Lonchura striata: one gene and its partner. The protein of the gene in region 1 purifies or fractionates together with the protein of each later gene. This does not show direct contact. Links are inferred from orthologs where the notes say so. Each region holds a gene or a part of one and is shown on either strand. Other genes may lie near its edges.

What was found.
Region 2: the proteins of PRKAA1 (region 1) and PARS2 purify together in Homo sapiens (affinity purification with mass spectrometry; 3 studies listed by BioGRID and IntAct, with this or other methods). This does not show direct contact. The link is inferred for Lonchura striata from reciprocal best matches to the Homo sapiens genes PRKAA1 and PARS2.

What each region holds. Positions count from the first base shown.
Region 1 is NC_134642.1:35,979,351-35,987,353, forward strand, and holds the start of PRKAA1 (5'-AMP-activated protein kinase catalytic subunit alpha-1), read left to right. Parts: upstream 1-4,948; 5' UTR 4,949-4,990; coding exon 4,991-5,123; intron 5,124-8,003. UniProt on the Homo sapiens protein: Catalytic subunit of AMP-activated protein kinase (AMPK), an energy sensor protein kinase that plays a key role in regulating cellular energy metabolism.
Region 2 is NC_134611.1:8,827,994-8,835,654, reverse strand, and holds PARS2 (putative proline--tRNA ligase, mitochondrial), read right to left. Parts: upstream 3,027-7,661; 5' UTR 2,998-3,026; intron 2,218-2,997; 5' UTR 2,200-2,217; coding exon 787-2,199; 3' UTR 702-786; downstream 1-701. UniProt on the Homo sapiens protein: Mitochondrial aminoacyl-tRNA synthetase that catalyzes the specific attachment of the proline amino acid (aa) to the homologous transfer RNA (tRNA), further participating in protein synthesis.

The sequences.
Region 1 (8,003 bases):
CTGAGGAGAGTTCAGCAGTTCTTAGGTTCTAGGAGATAGTGTATGAGACCCACTGCCCTCTGAGTGGGAGTGGAACAGAGCTGGCAGATCTTAAAGTGTGTGTTCCAAGGAGCAAGAGCTCTCAATTCCCATCTGTAAGAAACCACGAAAGGAAAGCCAAAAGCATGGCTGAGTCAAGACCTGCTTGCCAAACTGAAGGGCAAGAAGGAAACAAACAGGCAAGGAAGCAAGAGAAGGTATATTGGAGCAAGCATAGGTTCATTGCTCAATTGTGACAGGATAGAGCTAAGAAGGCAAGGTGTGGCTAAAGCAAGCCTGGGAAGGGATGTAAGAGGAAGAAGAAGGGCTTCTGTAGGCACGTGAGCCATAAGGGAAGGTTAAAGTGTAATTTGTCCCACAGTAAACATGGCATCAGTGACATAGGAGGATTGAGTGCACCCTCGGAGAATTTGCACTATCTGAGTGGCGTGGTTGTGACATGTCCAAGGAACAGGATGCCATGAAGAAGGACATGGACAAGATCAAACCAGCTCATGTGAATTTAAAGGTGCCCAGCAGGGCCAAGAGTAAGGTCCTGCACTCAAGGCAAATCCCAGCTGAGAGATAAAGGGATTAAGAGATACTCTATGAAGAAGGATTGAGGGTAATGGTGCTTGAAAAGCTGGACATGTGCCAGCAATGTGCACTTGCAGCCCAGAAACCAAAAAGACAACCACATCCAGGGCTGCATCCAGAGCAGTGTGGCCAGCAGGTCAAGTGAGGTCATTCTGCTGCTCTGTCTTCCTGTTTACAGAGAGACTTCATTCAGCTCTGGGATCCCCAGGACAGGAAAGACATGGTTGTGTTGGACCATGCCCCGAGAAGGGCCACAAAGAAGATTCAGGGGGCTGCAGCACCTCTCCTATGAATCCAGAGAGTTGGAATTATCCAGCCTGGAGAATAGAAGGCTCCAGGAAGCCATTCAATATTTGTAGAAGACCTGGAAGAAAGATGGGGACAGACCTATTAGAAGGGCCTGCAGTTACAGAACAAGGAGTAATTGTTTTAAACTAAAGGAGAGTTGATTCAGACTATGTAAAAGGAAGAAGTCTTTTTCTATGAGGCTGCTGAGACATTGGAACAGGCTGCCCAGAGAAGCAATATACTCAATATCCCAGAGAAGCTATAATACTCCCACTCCCTGGAAGTGTTTCAGAAGAGATTGGACTGGGCTCTGAGCAGCTTGGTCTAGTTGAAGAAACCCTGGCTGGTTGCAGGATAGGTTGGATTAGATAGAGGATCTTTACAGATGCCTTCCAACCCAAACCATTCTGTGATTTCTGCAGTGTCAACTTAGAAGCTAGAAACAGCAGAACAGATAAAAGCCTAGAGCTGGGCAAAACATACATTTTTATGGCGAGGAGAAGGAAAGTGAAAATAGTACCAGGCACTTGCAGAAGAAATGTGCTGTACATTCAGTGGCAATGTAGAGTCAGAAGTCAAAGAGAGAAGAGCAAGCAGCATGTGCCTGTTTGCAAAGCGCACCAATGATGCCAAGGAAGTCTTAATACCAGATAGTAGAAACAAGTCACATTAATGTTCCCCCTTTCATATTGTTAGTAAAGCTGAGAATGTTTTCTGTTTTGTCTTCAATCCTTTGTTTTCTTGTCTAATTATTACATCATCTCCCACTCCTGGTCTCCTTGCTGGCCCTGAACTGTACAGTGGCCATTGCAGTGTCTGGGCAGACATGCGTCAGGAAAGCCTTGCTGTATTCCTGAACCACAGCATTGGCTCCCTGTGTGTCACAAAGGGCACACATGCCAGGTCTCCATGCTGGTGGCACTTGTAACACTACACTGGGTAACACAGCTCTGGAGGATGTTTCCACAGAGTAGCAGTTCTATTTTTGCTAAAGTACTCTGATCTTCCTACTTACGGGAATAAATTATTGAAAATACAGAAACAATTTACATTTAAAAGAAAGAAATTGTACTAGGGGAATTAACAGCCATTTTCTGTCTCAAAATCAGGTTATGGAGATAATTGACAGAAATCAAGTCGGCTTTAAGTTCATTATTTATTTTAAATGCTGTCTTAGAAGTAGAGGCATGCCCAGTTGAATAAACAAACAGAAAAAGTGATTTTAAAATAGTGCATGGGTTTTTCAAGATAAATAGTGTAATGGAGAAGTTATCAGAAAGTAAGCTGGCCTCAAAGATTCATGGAATAATTCCTCTGGTATGTTTTGTTCTGCCAGCTATTCTAAGAGGACAACCTTCTCCCCACACCCTCACAATACATTATTCAAAGTTGCACTGTTGGCCAAAAAAGCTCAATCTTCCATTATGACTCTTACATGCAAAAGGTGAGAGAGTAAGTGCTGCTGATGATTAGTATTGTGAAGTGTTTATCACTACCTTTCACACTGAGTAAAGTTCAGGTAGCTGTGTTTGTATTGTACGTAAGCATCAAATACTAAAATATTAATCCATTGTGATGTTACTATAAGGCTTGGCCTAGATTATGCTTTATTTGACACAGGCTGGGGTACTTTACCTATTGTAGATTTTATGCTTTTATTCTTTTTTTAAAAGCAACTTGATGCTCAAGGTGTGACAAAGAACTTTGAGTAAAACTGAATGCAGTGATATAAGCATAAAAGTCGCAGTACAAATGGGCAAAATATTTTTGTGATACTAATTTTTGGCTGCAAATATAAAAGTCATGAATGGCTTCTACAGTCTAGTTCCTGTCTAACAGCTCATTCATTTTCATTTTCTAAAATGTTCTGGTATCTGAGTAATTAAGAGATTACTTAGTAATTAATTAAATGATATCACTTTCTAGTATAGACCTGTAGAGCTTTTTGAAGTCTCATTGTATTGTTCTTGATCAGGACAATAGCTTGAGTTAAAGCTAAAAATAGCTTGTAATCATTTGGTATCAAGACACTAACTCTGCAGACATCCCAAATAATTCTTCCCCCTTCAGCTAGCTATGGCTTAATCAACTCTTTCTTTTCCCAGTGTGATATTCAACACATAATTTTCTCCTCATACTACAATGAAAGTTTCCAAAATGTTAAAGTAATGCTTTTTGCATCACAAAAGAAAACTTGCCAGTTTTTCTTTTCCTGATGTTAGATTGCTATCCAATCCCACTGTGACAATAAATATTTTTCCCCAAAATCTCAGATCATGAACTATGCTGGTTTGTATATTCTGATTTTTGTGTGTGTTTGGTACTTGTGATGTACAAGATTTTTAGAGCCAAAGATCTAATATGAGGCCAAATAATTTTTATAATTATGCTTCAAATCTTGTACAGTTCTATTGTAGTGTAGTGTAATGTTACTATTGTAGTATAGCAGGATGCTCAAAGTTGGGTAAAACTGCTCAAACTTTGTCTTGTTAGCAAAAGTTATCAGAGGTGGATGGAGGAGGGGTGTCATGCTGCTTTTGGTGTTGAAGAATGCTGAGACCAGCCTGACTCAACTATTCAGTTAAACATCCTGAGGATGTGAGAAACAATATTTCTTGCCAGAAATTTGCCCTGATGAGGATGTGGCTAAGTTCCTGAGAAATGAACCCACAAATGACAATGCAGATAACTGAAGAGATAGCTCAGATAGCTGCTGAGCTAAAGGCTGATGAGCTGACACAGATGACCCAGAAACATCTGGCTGACAATCATTTTGTATATGTGGCTTATACACTACAAGAGCTCAGTCCCACTTTTTAATGCACCCATGTCTGACACTTCCCTTTCCAGAGTGAGGATATGAAGATTTCTCTCTTGAGTGGGAACACCCCTCAAGGGAGAAATCTTCATTACTTCCCTATGAAATTTTTTATGCCATTAGCATAGAGGAATTTTTAAAAATATACAATTTTTGCATATATGAGAATTTCTGGTCTCCAACTGTTAAATTAATGACTATAACATAAGTAATATTGAAGGCTCTCTGAATTGGATTTAGGATCATTAGAACATTAGGACACTAGGATAAAATTGTCCAAACTTTCTTGCTGTCTGATGTATTTATCTATTTGCAAACACATTCAGGGGCTATGCGTAGGGTAGGGAAAAGAAACCGTTTTAGATTTAATAATTCACTTACTCTGGAGCACTAGGGAAAGGCAGTGAAGGCATGGGAGTTGCCCATAACCTTCCTTGTCAATTGATGATCTCTTCATTTGAAAATACCCACCCAATAGTCACTCCTTCTCCAGGTTTATGTGTTTCTTTCAATGCGGGGTTGGAACGTGAATAAAAATTTAATCCAGTTATAGTCAACAAAAAAACAACTATGATCTTCAGTGTATAGAAAATACTCAATGTATGGAATGGAAGGCAAGTTACTGGCTTAAATGCAACGTGAATGAATAGTGAGAGTGGCTGGCAGGGCAAGCCAGACGGCAGAATACGTGGTCAAGGTAGTTAAGAGACCCCTGCTTTTCTTCGTATTCCTGTAACAGGGTCTGGATGAGTGAAGAGGAACTGAGGAGAACAAACAGATTTTATTTACAAGGCTATTGGAAACACAGAGCTGGGAGGCCCATTTTATGAGGGCGGGCTCGCTGCTGACGAGCAGCACCGCCCGCCCCGCCACCTCCCCGCTGGGCGGCCCAGCAGGGCCCGCTCCCCCCGGGGCACCCGTGGGCCGGCCCGGCCTCCCCCAGAGCCGCAATGGTTGGTCCTGGGCCAGGGCGGGAGGGAGGTCAGCGCGCCGGCCGCTTCCGGGTTGGGCGCGGGCGGGCGCTCTGTGGTTGCTCCTCCCGCCGGCGCTCTGGCGTGGCGCGGGCGGGCGCTCTGTGGTTGCTCCTCCCGCCGGCGCTCTGGCGTGGCGCGGGCGGGCGCTCTGTGGTTGCTCCTCCCGCCGGCGCTCTGGCGTGGCGCGGGCGGGCGCTCTGTGGTTGCTCCTCCCGCCGGCGCTCTGGCGTGGCGCGGGCGGGCGCTCTGTGGTTGCTCCTCCCGCCGGCGCTCTGGCGTGGCGCGGGCGGGCGCTATGCGCAGGCTCGGCCCTTGCCTCAAGATGGCGGCGGTGGCGGATAAACAGAAGCACGAGCACGGGCGGGTGAAGATCGGGCACTACATCCTGGGCGACACGCTGGGCGTCGGCACCTTCGGGAAAGTCAAGGGTGAGCGGGGCCGCGGGGCGATCGGAGCGCGGAGTGGGGCTTGTCCGGGCTGAGTTGCTGGGGTGGGACTGGCGGTCCCGCTGCGGGATGCAGCGGCTGGGCAGAAACAGCTTCCTCATCTGCGCTTGCGGAAATAACCGCTGAATGCTGTCTCTGTGTGGAACAACACCGGTCGTGTAACGAAAGCAGGAAGTCTTAAATCCTCGAGCTTCGTATATAGCATTTTGATGCTCAGGTATGAACTCTCGATGCCCTTGTACGGAAGGCAACATTGCTCTCTCAACAGAAAAATAAGCGTAAAAAGATGGGTCTGGGATTGTTGGATTATTTGGTAACACAGCTGATCTGCAGATACGGAAAACTTCATGTTCAATCCGCTTGACCAGTGGTTAACAACGTTTTTTGGTTTTTTTTCAGCTCAGATTTAAAAAAAAATTCCAGTGTAGGGCTATGGATGCTATACTGCTTATTTGGAGGCTAGTAGAAATAAGGTAGGATTTAAACTTCCCCATAGTGCCATTCACCGCAGGACTAAGCGTTAGTTTTCCTGTCGTGCTGCTTGTGAGAACTTAAAATATTGGGGCAAGCAAATCAAAAACATCCTTTCTCAAATGAGTAGAGCTAAGCCTGAGCTTAGCTCTTCATAAGGGTTGTGGTTCTTAATAGGTGCATAAAAACCGCAGCTTTCCCCCCCCTCCGTGTAGATAATCCATTGTATCTGCTCTGCACAACCTCTTTTAGCTATTGATGAGTTATGAAAAAAATCAATAAGGTATAGTAAATAGGATGATAATTTGCTCTAGGAAAGCAGTAAAAATATCTGGAAAGCACAGCCCTTCAAGTCTCTTTTTCAAGGGAAACTTATAAAAGAACAGCCCCAGCCATTTTGGAATAGTGACCTTTCCCCTCCCCCTCCCCGGTCTAGCAATTCCCATTCTTTTCTGTGGGAACTTAGTACTTCCTTGAGTAGAGAGAAAAGAGATGATGCAGCAGACAAGCATTAAGTTCTCTTTCCTCATGGAAGGACTGCCTGCTTGAGGGGAGGGGTCAAAGCTGTGTTTGTTTTGTGTTTTTTTTACCCAACATCCAACAGAAGACTAAGATTAACATACCATCAATGTTCTAGTATGATCCTAAATTTAGGAGAGTGCTGTTGTGCTACTACTTTTCTTGTCCCCATGTTATGTACTGTGTTACTTTTGTCTTGTTTCAGCTGTGCTTAATAAGGAACATTTTATCTATGATGCACTGGTTTTCCTCTTCAGCACACGTTTTCTTCATTTAATACCAGATCTACAATTGTTTTTCCTGTTTTCATAATTTCCTTCTCTGGTGATATGGTTTCATCAGTTGATATAAGGTGAAGAACATGTATTCACTTCTTAAAATTCAATTAGCATATACCTTGAGCTCAGGTAATGTAGGGGGTCAGACATTTGGCTAAGTGAATGTTTCACTCTAACAGTGATGGCAACCTGGAAAAATCAAACTGGAAAGTCAGTGCTTTATTTGATAATTGTGAAAGGTCTCCTGCCGTTGCTTTCTGATGAATTCATGCTGCTGATAGTTGTCACTGGTGTGATTCTGTCCAGTTTACAATTTTCACCTGTCTCTGCCACTCTGAATTAATTCTGAGTGACTTGGTTTACCAGACTGTGCCTCAGATGGGCAGTCTCAGAAATGGCTGTTCTGAGACATAATCTAGGCAAAGTTAAAATGCCACTGAAATGAAAAGCTGACATGGAATACTACTGAATGTAAACCAATTGTATGAGACACATTCATGTCCAGACTTTACTAGAATTCAGTGTAAAACTTTTTAAGCACTGCTGATGTTTCCTCCTGAAACTAGATGCTTCATTTCCTCCTGAAACTAGATGCACACTTATTTCCAGATACTTTTTTTCCAAGTTATCTTTCATAAAAGGAAGATAGGCTTCCAGTGGTCCCTACTGAGAATATGAGTGATATTACTTACAGCTCTAAATATACAATAATTGTTCCAGCTCTCTGTATCTAGAGTATCAATACTGTTCTGTATAGGTTGCAAACCAAGTAGTCTGGGTCAAGGCAACAATAAGAGACATTTGTGAACAAATGAACACTGTAGATCCCTATGGCATCTAACGTGCAGCAAGGTGGCTTTGCATAGCATGCACTATTCTTGTTTAGGATTTTTTACCTTGTTATTGAAAAAATTTATTTAGCTCATAATCCTAAAGACTGCTTCCCTCTGAGCTATGGATTGGCTTTTTGGCCTGCTGCAAATTTTTTCATTAAATACAACATAGCCTTCAGATTATTATTTTTTTCCTCTAAAAACTTAATGACTGATACCTGTATTTCATAAGTATGTTGTATTTGGTCTTCATGGCCTCAAAATCAGTTTTTTCTAATTGGAGAACTGTTGAACAAGATAGAGACTTGTCCTCCTGCACTTCTACAGTTAATAATAAGTTGCTGCTGCTTTGAGACTCTGTTGTTTTAATGAAAATATTGACACTATGCAAAGCCATATTATCAGAAAAAAAAAGAAATACAGGAATATAGTGTGTCTGTTAAATGAATTAGTTTTTTGGTTTTTTTTTTTCTGCAGAGATTATTTTGAAGGGCTGATAGCTAGTTGAACATTAGGGTGCGATCCCTTTTATAGGTAAAACTTCCATCAAGTGGTAATGAAAAGTAGATTTCAGGAAGGTAACACTGGCTGCTTACGTTTCTACATGATGTTATCATCTGGGGTGACGCTTTCACTTCTGTCCTAATGTTGAATTCAAAAGTGTCAGCAGTCTGTTACCAGCTGGTATCTGCTGTTTTACCGGTAACAGATACCTTGAACTGTATCCAGGAAAGGCTACTTGTATCTTAAAAGGCTAATTT
Region 2 (7,661 bases), on another chromosome or scaffold:
AAGTTCTTTCTCAGAAGGGTTGTCAGGCATTGGAACAGCCTGCTCAGGGAAGTGATGGAGTCACCATCCCTGGAGAGATTTAACGGGCACCTGGGGACACGGGTTACAGGTGGCCTTGGCAGCTCAGGTTAATGGCTGGACTCAATGATTTTAAAGGCCTTTTCCAACCTAACGATTCTGTGATTTTATTACAGTGTAGCTCATGATTTCTAGATCCCAGACCGAGGAGCTGCGGCACAGGGTGAGGTGACCCCTCCATGCAGCTCCCTGTCCCGTCTGTGCTGCTGGGATGGCACCAAGCAGCTCCTCACAGGAGCCCTGGGCCTGCCATGGCAAGCTTCCACCTTCATGGGACGTGGGTGTTCCTGAAGGAAAATGCAAACACAGGGAAGTCACCTTTCTTTGTCTCTCTTAGAATCCTTTGAGGCAGTGAGGGGAGCCCTCCTGTCGCCCTGGGCAGTTTTGCTGTTCCGTGACAGAGACCTTGGCCAGTCCATCCCTGCCAGGCAGTGAGGGGTTGGCCCTGCCAGTGCTCCCACAGCCACACGAGGCTACAAGTGCTGGAAAAAGCAACTTCCAGGCAGCTGTACCCAGAGGGAGGAATGTCCCCAACCATGTGGGGGAATGTAGGCTGATTCCAGCTCAACCTCAGCACCTGGCACACCTGCAGGATGCTGCAAATGGCTCTGATGTGAGCTGGATTTGCCTCTGCTCACCCAGAGCCATCGCCAGGGCTGCCCAGATGAACTCACTGCAGCAGAGATGATGGATTCAGAGAGGAGGCACTTAAGGGACTTGCACTTTACTCAGCAGCTCTATGACGCCTTCTTTGGTGAGGAACAAAACCTCGCTGGCATTCTGATTCCAAACCTCAAAGACCGGGGGGTCCTCGCAGACCCTCTTCCCAGCCACCACCACGTAGGGATAGCCCAGCCTTTTGGCATCCTTCAGCCTCTTGCCGATGGTCAGCTGGCTCCGGTCGTCCAGCACCGAGTCGGCAGCGAGCTGGGGCAGCGCTTCGGCCAGCTCATCGTACACCCGCTCCAGCAGCGCCGCTCCCTCCTCCTCCTCCTTGCTGCCCCTCTTGGGGGGGATGAAGCAGAGCTGGTAGGGCGCGATGAGGCTGGGCCAGCGGATGCTGTCCTCGGTGGAGAGCACCTCGATGGAGGCCGCCAGGATGCGAGTGACGCCCAGGCCGTAGCAGCCCATTTCTGCCAGCTGGGGTTTGTTCTCGGCGGAGGAGAAGACGGCGTTGGCGACGGAGGAGTACTTGGTGCCCAGGTAAAACGTGTGCCCCACCTCGATGCCTTTGGTCTCGGTGAGTTTCTCCCCGCACGTGGGGCACGAGGTTTGCTCCCCGTTTAGCGTCTCCACGTTGGCTGCGAAATGCCCCTGAGGGCACAGCAGCAGCCTGTCCTCGCCGATGTCTGCCGGCAGCTGGAACTCGTGGGACGTGCTGCCACCGATGCTGCCCGTGGCCGCCTGCACCTTGACGAAGGGCAGGCCCAGGCGGGTGAAGAGGCTGCAGTAGGCAGCACACACCTGCTCGTAGGTGCGCCGAGCCGCCTCCTCGGAGCTGTCGAAGGTGTACATGTCCTTCATGTAGAACTCCCGGCTGCGCAGCAAGCCGAAGCGGGGCTTGGGCTCGTCCCGGAACTTCCTGGTGACCTGGTAGAGGCGCAGCGGGAGCTGCTTGTAGGACAGGCCGGTCTGCGAGGCCACCAGCGCCGTCACCACCTCCTCGTGCGTGGGGCCCAGGCAGTAGTCGTGGTCGTGCCGATCCACCAGCCGGAAGAGCTCCGGCCCCATCTGGTCCCAGCGGCCGCTGGCGCGCCACAGCTCCGCCGAGCACAGGCTGGGCAGGTTCAGCTTCTGCCCACCCACGGCCTGCATCTCCTCGTCCATCACCTGGATCAGCTTCTCCATGGCGCGGACGGCGGGCGGCAGGTAGCAGTAGCAGCCGGGGCTGGTGGGATGGATGAGCCCCGCCTGCAGCATCAGCCGCTGGCTGCGGCAGGTGGGCTCCCCGGGCCGGCCCTCGGAGCCCACCTGGCTGCCCACGGGCAGGGCCAGCGGCTGGAAGAGCTGCGAGAGCCGCAGGCGCCTGGCCCTGCCCGGGGCGCCGCCGTGCCGGGCCCTGATCCCGCACTGCCGAGCGCCCAGCGCCGGGAGACGGCAGCTCCTCAGCAAGGCCTCCATGGCGGGCACGGAGAGGGGCTGCGGAGAGAGAGGGGACAGAGCGGGGGTCAGCGCTGACACAGCGCAGGGACTGCGCCACCCTGACACGCACACGGGTGTCAGAGCTCACACGGACCCACACGCACCGGGTGTGCACATACAGGTACCCCGTCACACGGGAATGCTGCACGGGCACACCCAGGTGTGCACATACAGGTACCCCATCACACGGGAATGCTGCACGGGCACACCCGGGTGTTCACATACAGGTACCCGGACACGGGAATGATGCACGGGCACACCCAGGTGTGCACATACAGGTACCCCATCACACGGGAATGCTGCACGGGCACACCCGGTGTGCACATACAGGTACCCCATCACACGGGAATGCTGCACGGGCACACCCGGTGTGCACATACAGGTACCCCGTCACACGGGAATGCTGCACGGGCACACCCGGTGTGCACATACAGGTATCCCGTCACACGGGAATGCTGCACGGGCACACGCGGTGTGCACATACAGGTACCCCATCACACGGGAATGCTGCACGGCGTTCACACAGCCCTGCGCGCTTCCCGGGACACCCCGGTACCCGCACACGGACACGCACGAACGCGGCACGGGCAGAGCGGCACACAAGCGGGATGATGCTGCCCACGCGGGAACACCTTCCGGGATGTGCAGGTACGGGCATGGATACGCGGGGATGCCACGGGGGAACACCTGAGCGCACACTCACGCCTGAGCGCACACTCACACCGGAGCGCACACACACACGTGCACGCGCACACGCACACCCGCGCGCGCACTTACGGCCGCGGGGGCGCGCGCCCGGCCCCGCCGGCGCGGCCAATGGGGAGCCCCTCCCTGTCACGCGGGCGGACCCACGCGGCAGAGGGGCGGCGCGCGCCGCTCTCGCTGGTTCCGCCGGGCGCGGCGGGCGCCCCCTGCCGGGCGGGAGGACCGTGCGCAGCGCCCGGGGCGGCGGGCGGCGGCGGGACGGGAACAGCGATCCCACGGGGACAGCGATCCCACGGGGACAGGGCAGGACAGGGACAGCGATCCCACGGGAACAGCGATCCCACGGGGACAGCGCAGGACAGGGACAGCGATCCCACGGGGACAGCGATCACACGGGAACAGCGATCCCACGGGGACAGGGCAGGGACAGCGATCACACGGGGACAGCGATCCCAGCAATGGCACCCCCACGGTTTGGGCATCCCTTCCTAACTGGGACGCCTTTCCAAGGCTTGGAAAACCCAGAAGCTCCTGGTTCTTGGGAGAGGCTGCTGCTGTGGAGCTTGCTGCCGTCCCACCGGCTCAGAGGGACAGTGACCACTTGTACATCCTGGCCTTGGAAGAACTGATGTTCTTCACCTCAAAGAGCACTTTGGCAGCTCCATCCTCCCCCCGGTCATGGCTTTGCACAGCTGGGTCGTGTCCAGAGCGTGGTTATGGCACACAGCCCTCAGCTCCGCAGGCACCGCCTGGGAACTCCTCGTCTTTCTGAACCCCCTGCTCTGTCCATGCCTTGGTGCTTCTCCAGCCTCACCTGCCCAAAGCGGCGTCTGCAGGAGGCACCACAAGGTCTCGGTGGAGCCACACTGCCCCAGGGCAATGACCTGCTCGAAGCACTCGATGCCAAATGTTTTCTGTTTGTCCCTGAGGAGCTGCAGTTTGGGAATGGCATCATCCAGGTCAAACTCCGCCGCTTGGCCCAGGAGTTCTGTCCACCAGGAACAGTTCTTGCACAGATTTCACCCTCGTGTAACAGTGAAAAATAGTAAAAAGAGCCAAGACAGGAAAAAAAGGGTCCTTGAAAGTAATGAGTCCATCTGCTTCCCCTTCCAGGCTCAGTCTTGGGGCAGCATGTACTGAGTGTTCAGGGACAGAAGCACTTGGAGGGTACCTGAAGGAAGGCTGAGAGATCAAAAGCCACCTTCTTAGCTCATTCCAGCTCTCTCCAACCCAGTCTGGCAGACACACATCGCCTGACACCCAGTGACCACCTCCACACTGCACTTTCCAGCCTCCTCCCTCAGCTCAGAGGGAGTTCAGCATCTCCGGAGCACACACTAAAGCACTCCACTGGAGGAGGAGACAGCACTTCAAAGAAGAGTTAAATAATCCTCTTTAAATAGAGGGAAAGAAGAAGAAACCCTTATTTTAAAAATGGGATTTGAAGAAATCTTCACAATTCTTTTATAATGTAATGTGCACTCCTGTTTACAGAGGACTGGATATGGGCAAAAGCAAGGAATTAAGGAGCACATGTGATGCTCTGGGCTATCTAGAAACATTAAAGTCATTAAACAGTTGAGCCAGTTCTGCCAGGTGACTCAACCACCTGTGTGCCCAGAGGCACCTGTGGGAGTCCCTCAGCAGCTCCCAGACCAGCCTTACCTGGTTTTGTCAGGCAATCTGTGCTTGTCACCACAATTAGACAGGCACTGTAAACGCTGTGGCTGTCTCTGAGGCTGGAGATTGGGATGGATCCCTGTGGGAAGGGAATTTGCTCACACCTTGGACAGCCAGGTGCTGCTGTGTGTCCCTGGGGACCTCCACAGCCACCCTACAAAGCCTTTTGTCCATCTCCTCCTACTTGCCCAGGAACTGTGAGGTTTTCACCAGGCAGTTCAGGACAGAGGGTTGTCTCCATTTCTATTGTTGGAGCCAGAGAAGTGAAACACATTTCCGTCAGTGACTTATTACCTGCTGTGCTGATCAAAGGGACAAAACCATCTTGGATTGATTCTCTGGGGCAGTGTTTTAACCAGGAGGGTTTAAGGCTACACAGGAGATGTGGTCTGTGGGGAAAGCTGATCTGTTATTAAATCAGCAGACAGGACCGAATGCAGGGCTCAGCTCAGGGGTTATGTGCCTGAAAGCCTGTCTGGGCTCCTTATTTTTTCCAGCTGTGCTGGGGGAACCTAATAAAGGTACTGCTGCCCCTGCAGCCTTTCACCAAACTGCTCCCCTGCTGCTTTGCTGGGGCTGATTTATGGCACTGGGGCCAAAAGAGTGGCCTGAGAGGGGCATGCCCTGCACAGGAGGGGCTCAGCTCCTGTCTGGGGCCTCTCTCTTTGCCCCGAGGGATTTCCGGGAGGAAAAATGCTGAGGATGGGGAAAGATAAATGAAAGACCAAGCAGGCAATAGCAGCTGTCTTGAATCAGTGCCTGGTGCAGCACCAAAGAGATCAAGGGGTCAGTGTGGGAGTAACCACTGAGCTGGTGGAAAATGGTTCTTCCCTTTCCAGCAGCATCCCCAGGTAGCACCAGGATAGGGCTAGGGAAAAGAAGTCAGGGCAGGGGAGAGGCCAAGTCATTCAGTGGTCAAACCTCTCTCCATCCTGCAGAGGATTTGCAGTTTGGGCTTGGGGTGGGCACAGAGTGGTGGCACATCCCATCCACCTGTGGACAGCTTGTAGGGCCTGTGACCCCAGGGTGCTGGCCCACAGCCTTGGCTCACTGATTTGATCCCCTCCACTGATATTACTGTAACTGCTGGACAACGTTTTTATGCCCACTGGAGTAGCGATTCCAGGTCCTGCCTTTGATTTGCCCCTTGGGGAGTAGCTGGGAAATATAAAATTACTGCACACCCCCTGTGCCCTGGCAGCTACCCAAGGTGCAGTGTTCCCTCTGGGGTAACCCTGGGGTGCTTCCAGACAGCTCCTCTTGAGCAGACAACACTTTGTTTTTTTCCCTGCTGCTTTCCAGCCCTGCCTGCACAGGGGAGGGGACATTCCCGGGGGCATGGAGATGCTGGGTGCCACGGTGATGGTTGCCATGGCAAGGGCTGCCACCATCCCTGTGGTCCCTGGGGACCAGAGCTGTCAGCAGGTGGCTGCAGGCAGTCCTGGAGACATGGGCAGCTAGGTGAGAGCTGCACGTGTGGAGGCAGCTGGACTTACTCTTCTCACCTCCCAGGCTGCCTGTGCTCCTTGCACAGGGGCTGTTTGCACAGGATGGTCCAGCACACGCAGCTCAAGCTGGGAGCAGCCTGGGGTGGAAGCACGGGATGTGCTGAGCACCCAGCAGGGAGAACACGCTGCCCACAGGCAGGTGAGCCTGGCAGGAGCTCAGCAGTGCCCACATTACCTCTGCCTGCATCCTCAGGCCTTTGCCCTTTTCAAGGGATGCTTGGACAACCCTTCCCATTAGTTTTGCTCTGTTTCACCTGCAAGCAAGCGGAGACACTTCATGGATGAGGGCAGCTGGGTCCTTTTAGGTGCCAGGAGCTCCTTGTATCCTCCAAAAAGTCATTCTCTGCTGCTTAAAAGCCAGTTTTTCCTCTAGCAGCATCAGCAGCACATTGCAGAGCCAGTGCAGGTAGGAGCCCTTCCCCCAGTACCCATTCCTGGAGCTGTATTCATCTTGGCAGCTTCCCCATGGAGAACCAGAACAAAGCCTAAAGGGCTCAAAGCAGACAGGGAAAGCTTTTGTCTGAAACAGTCCACCTTGGCTAGGGATGATCAGCAGGAATCCACATGGCTTCTCTCCTTTATCCAGCTGAGTGAGGAACAGGCAGCTTGAAAGAGGTCAAGACATCTTCATAATTGGTGGGGAACTTTCAGATTACACTTGAGTGGGGAGGTTGTGACACTGCTGCCCTTCACTGCAGCTGGCAGGAGGGGACTGGTGAGAGAGCTCAAGCCTGCAGGGATAATCAACTCTTTATGGCCTGCTGTGACCAGAGCTGCTCCTGGAGGAGTGGTGGGGCTCACTGGGTGCTGTGTCCTCCTCCCTCCCCTGCAGCGTGGGCTCCCTTTGGTTAAGATGTGCCACTGTGGTTGTATCACTTGCTGAGGTGAGTGGCTCTGCTGCTGGCACAACCAGCCTGCTCCTCAGAGGGTTCCTCAAACTGGGGGAACCTCAGGAGCAGCCAGGAGCCTGCAATTCACAGGGCAGTGGCTGATGGGAGCTGGGGAGGCCCAGGAGCAAAGGACAAGAGAGACAAAGTGTTGGAATTGTACCATGCCTTCCCTGGGATAGATAGGGACCACAGAAAGCATGACAGAGGGGATATCCTGTCCTCCCTTTGCCTGGCTGAACATGGAGACCTAAAGGAGGGGGGCAATGACACTGCAATTGAGCAGAAATTAACTGTTTTCAGGTGGGACTTTAGAGAAATTACATACCTAAGAGGATGCCAGACCCCGCACATCCTCCCAAGGAAGGTGTGATGGCACACACAGCTCACTCAGGGTTAAACACATCCTTTCAAACTCTGCTGCTACTTAGAGGAATTGCACATACCTGTTCTGGGTGGTGTTACCACACCTGAGTAGCCCTAGGTCCACCACAACTCCACAGAGAAGTGGGTCTAAAAAAGAGCTCCCATAGCAAAGACAAGCAGGGAATGAAAACCTGGAGGCACTGCAGAAAGTAAGATGAGCAGAAAATCTCAGCAGCAACAAAAGCTGGCCATAAAAAGGTACTGGGAGCACGTTGGTTCTCCTAGAATTAAGTTT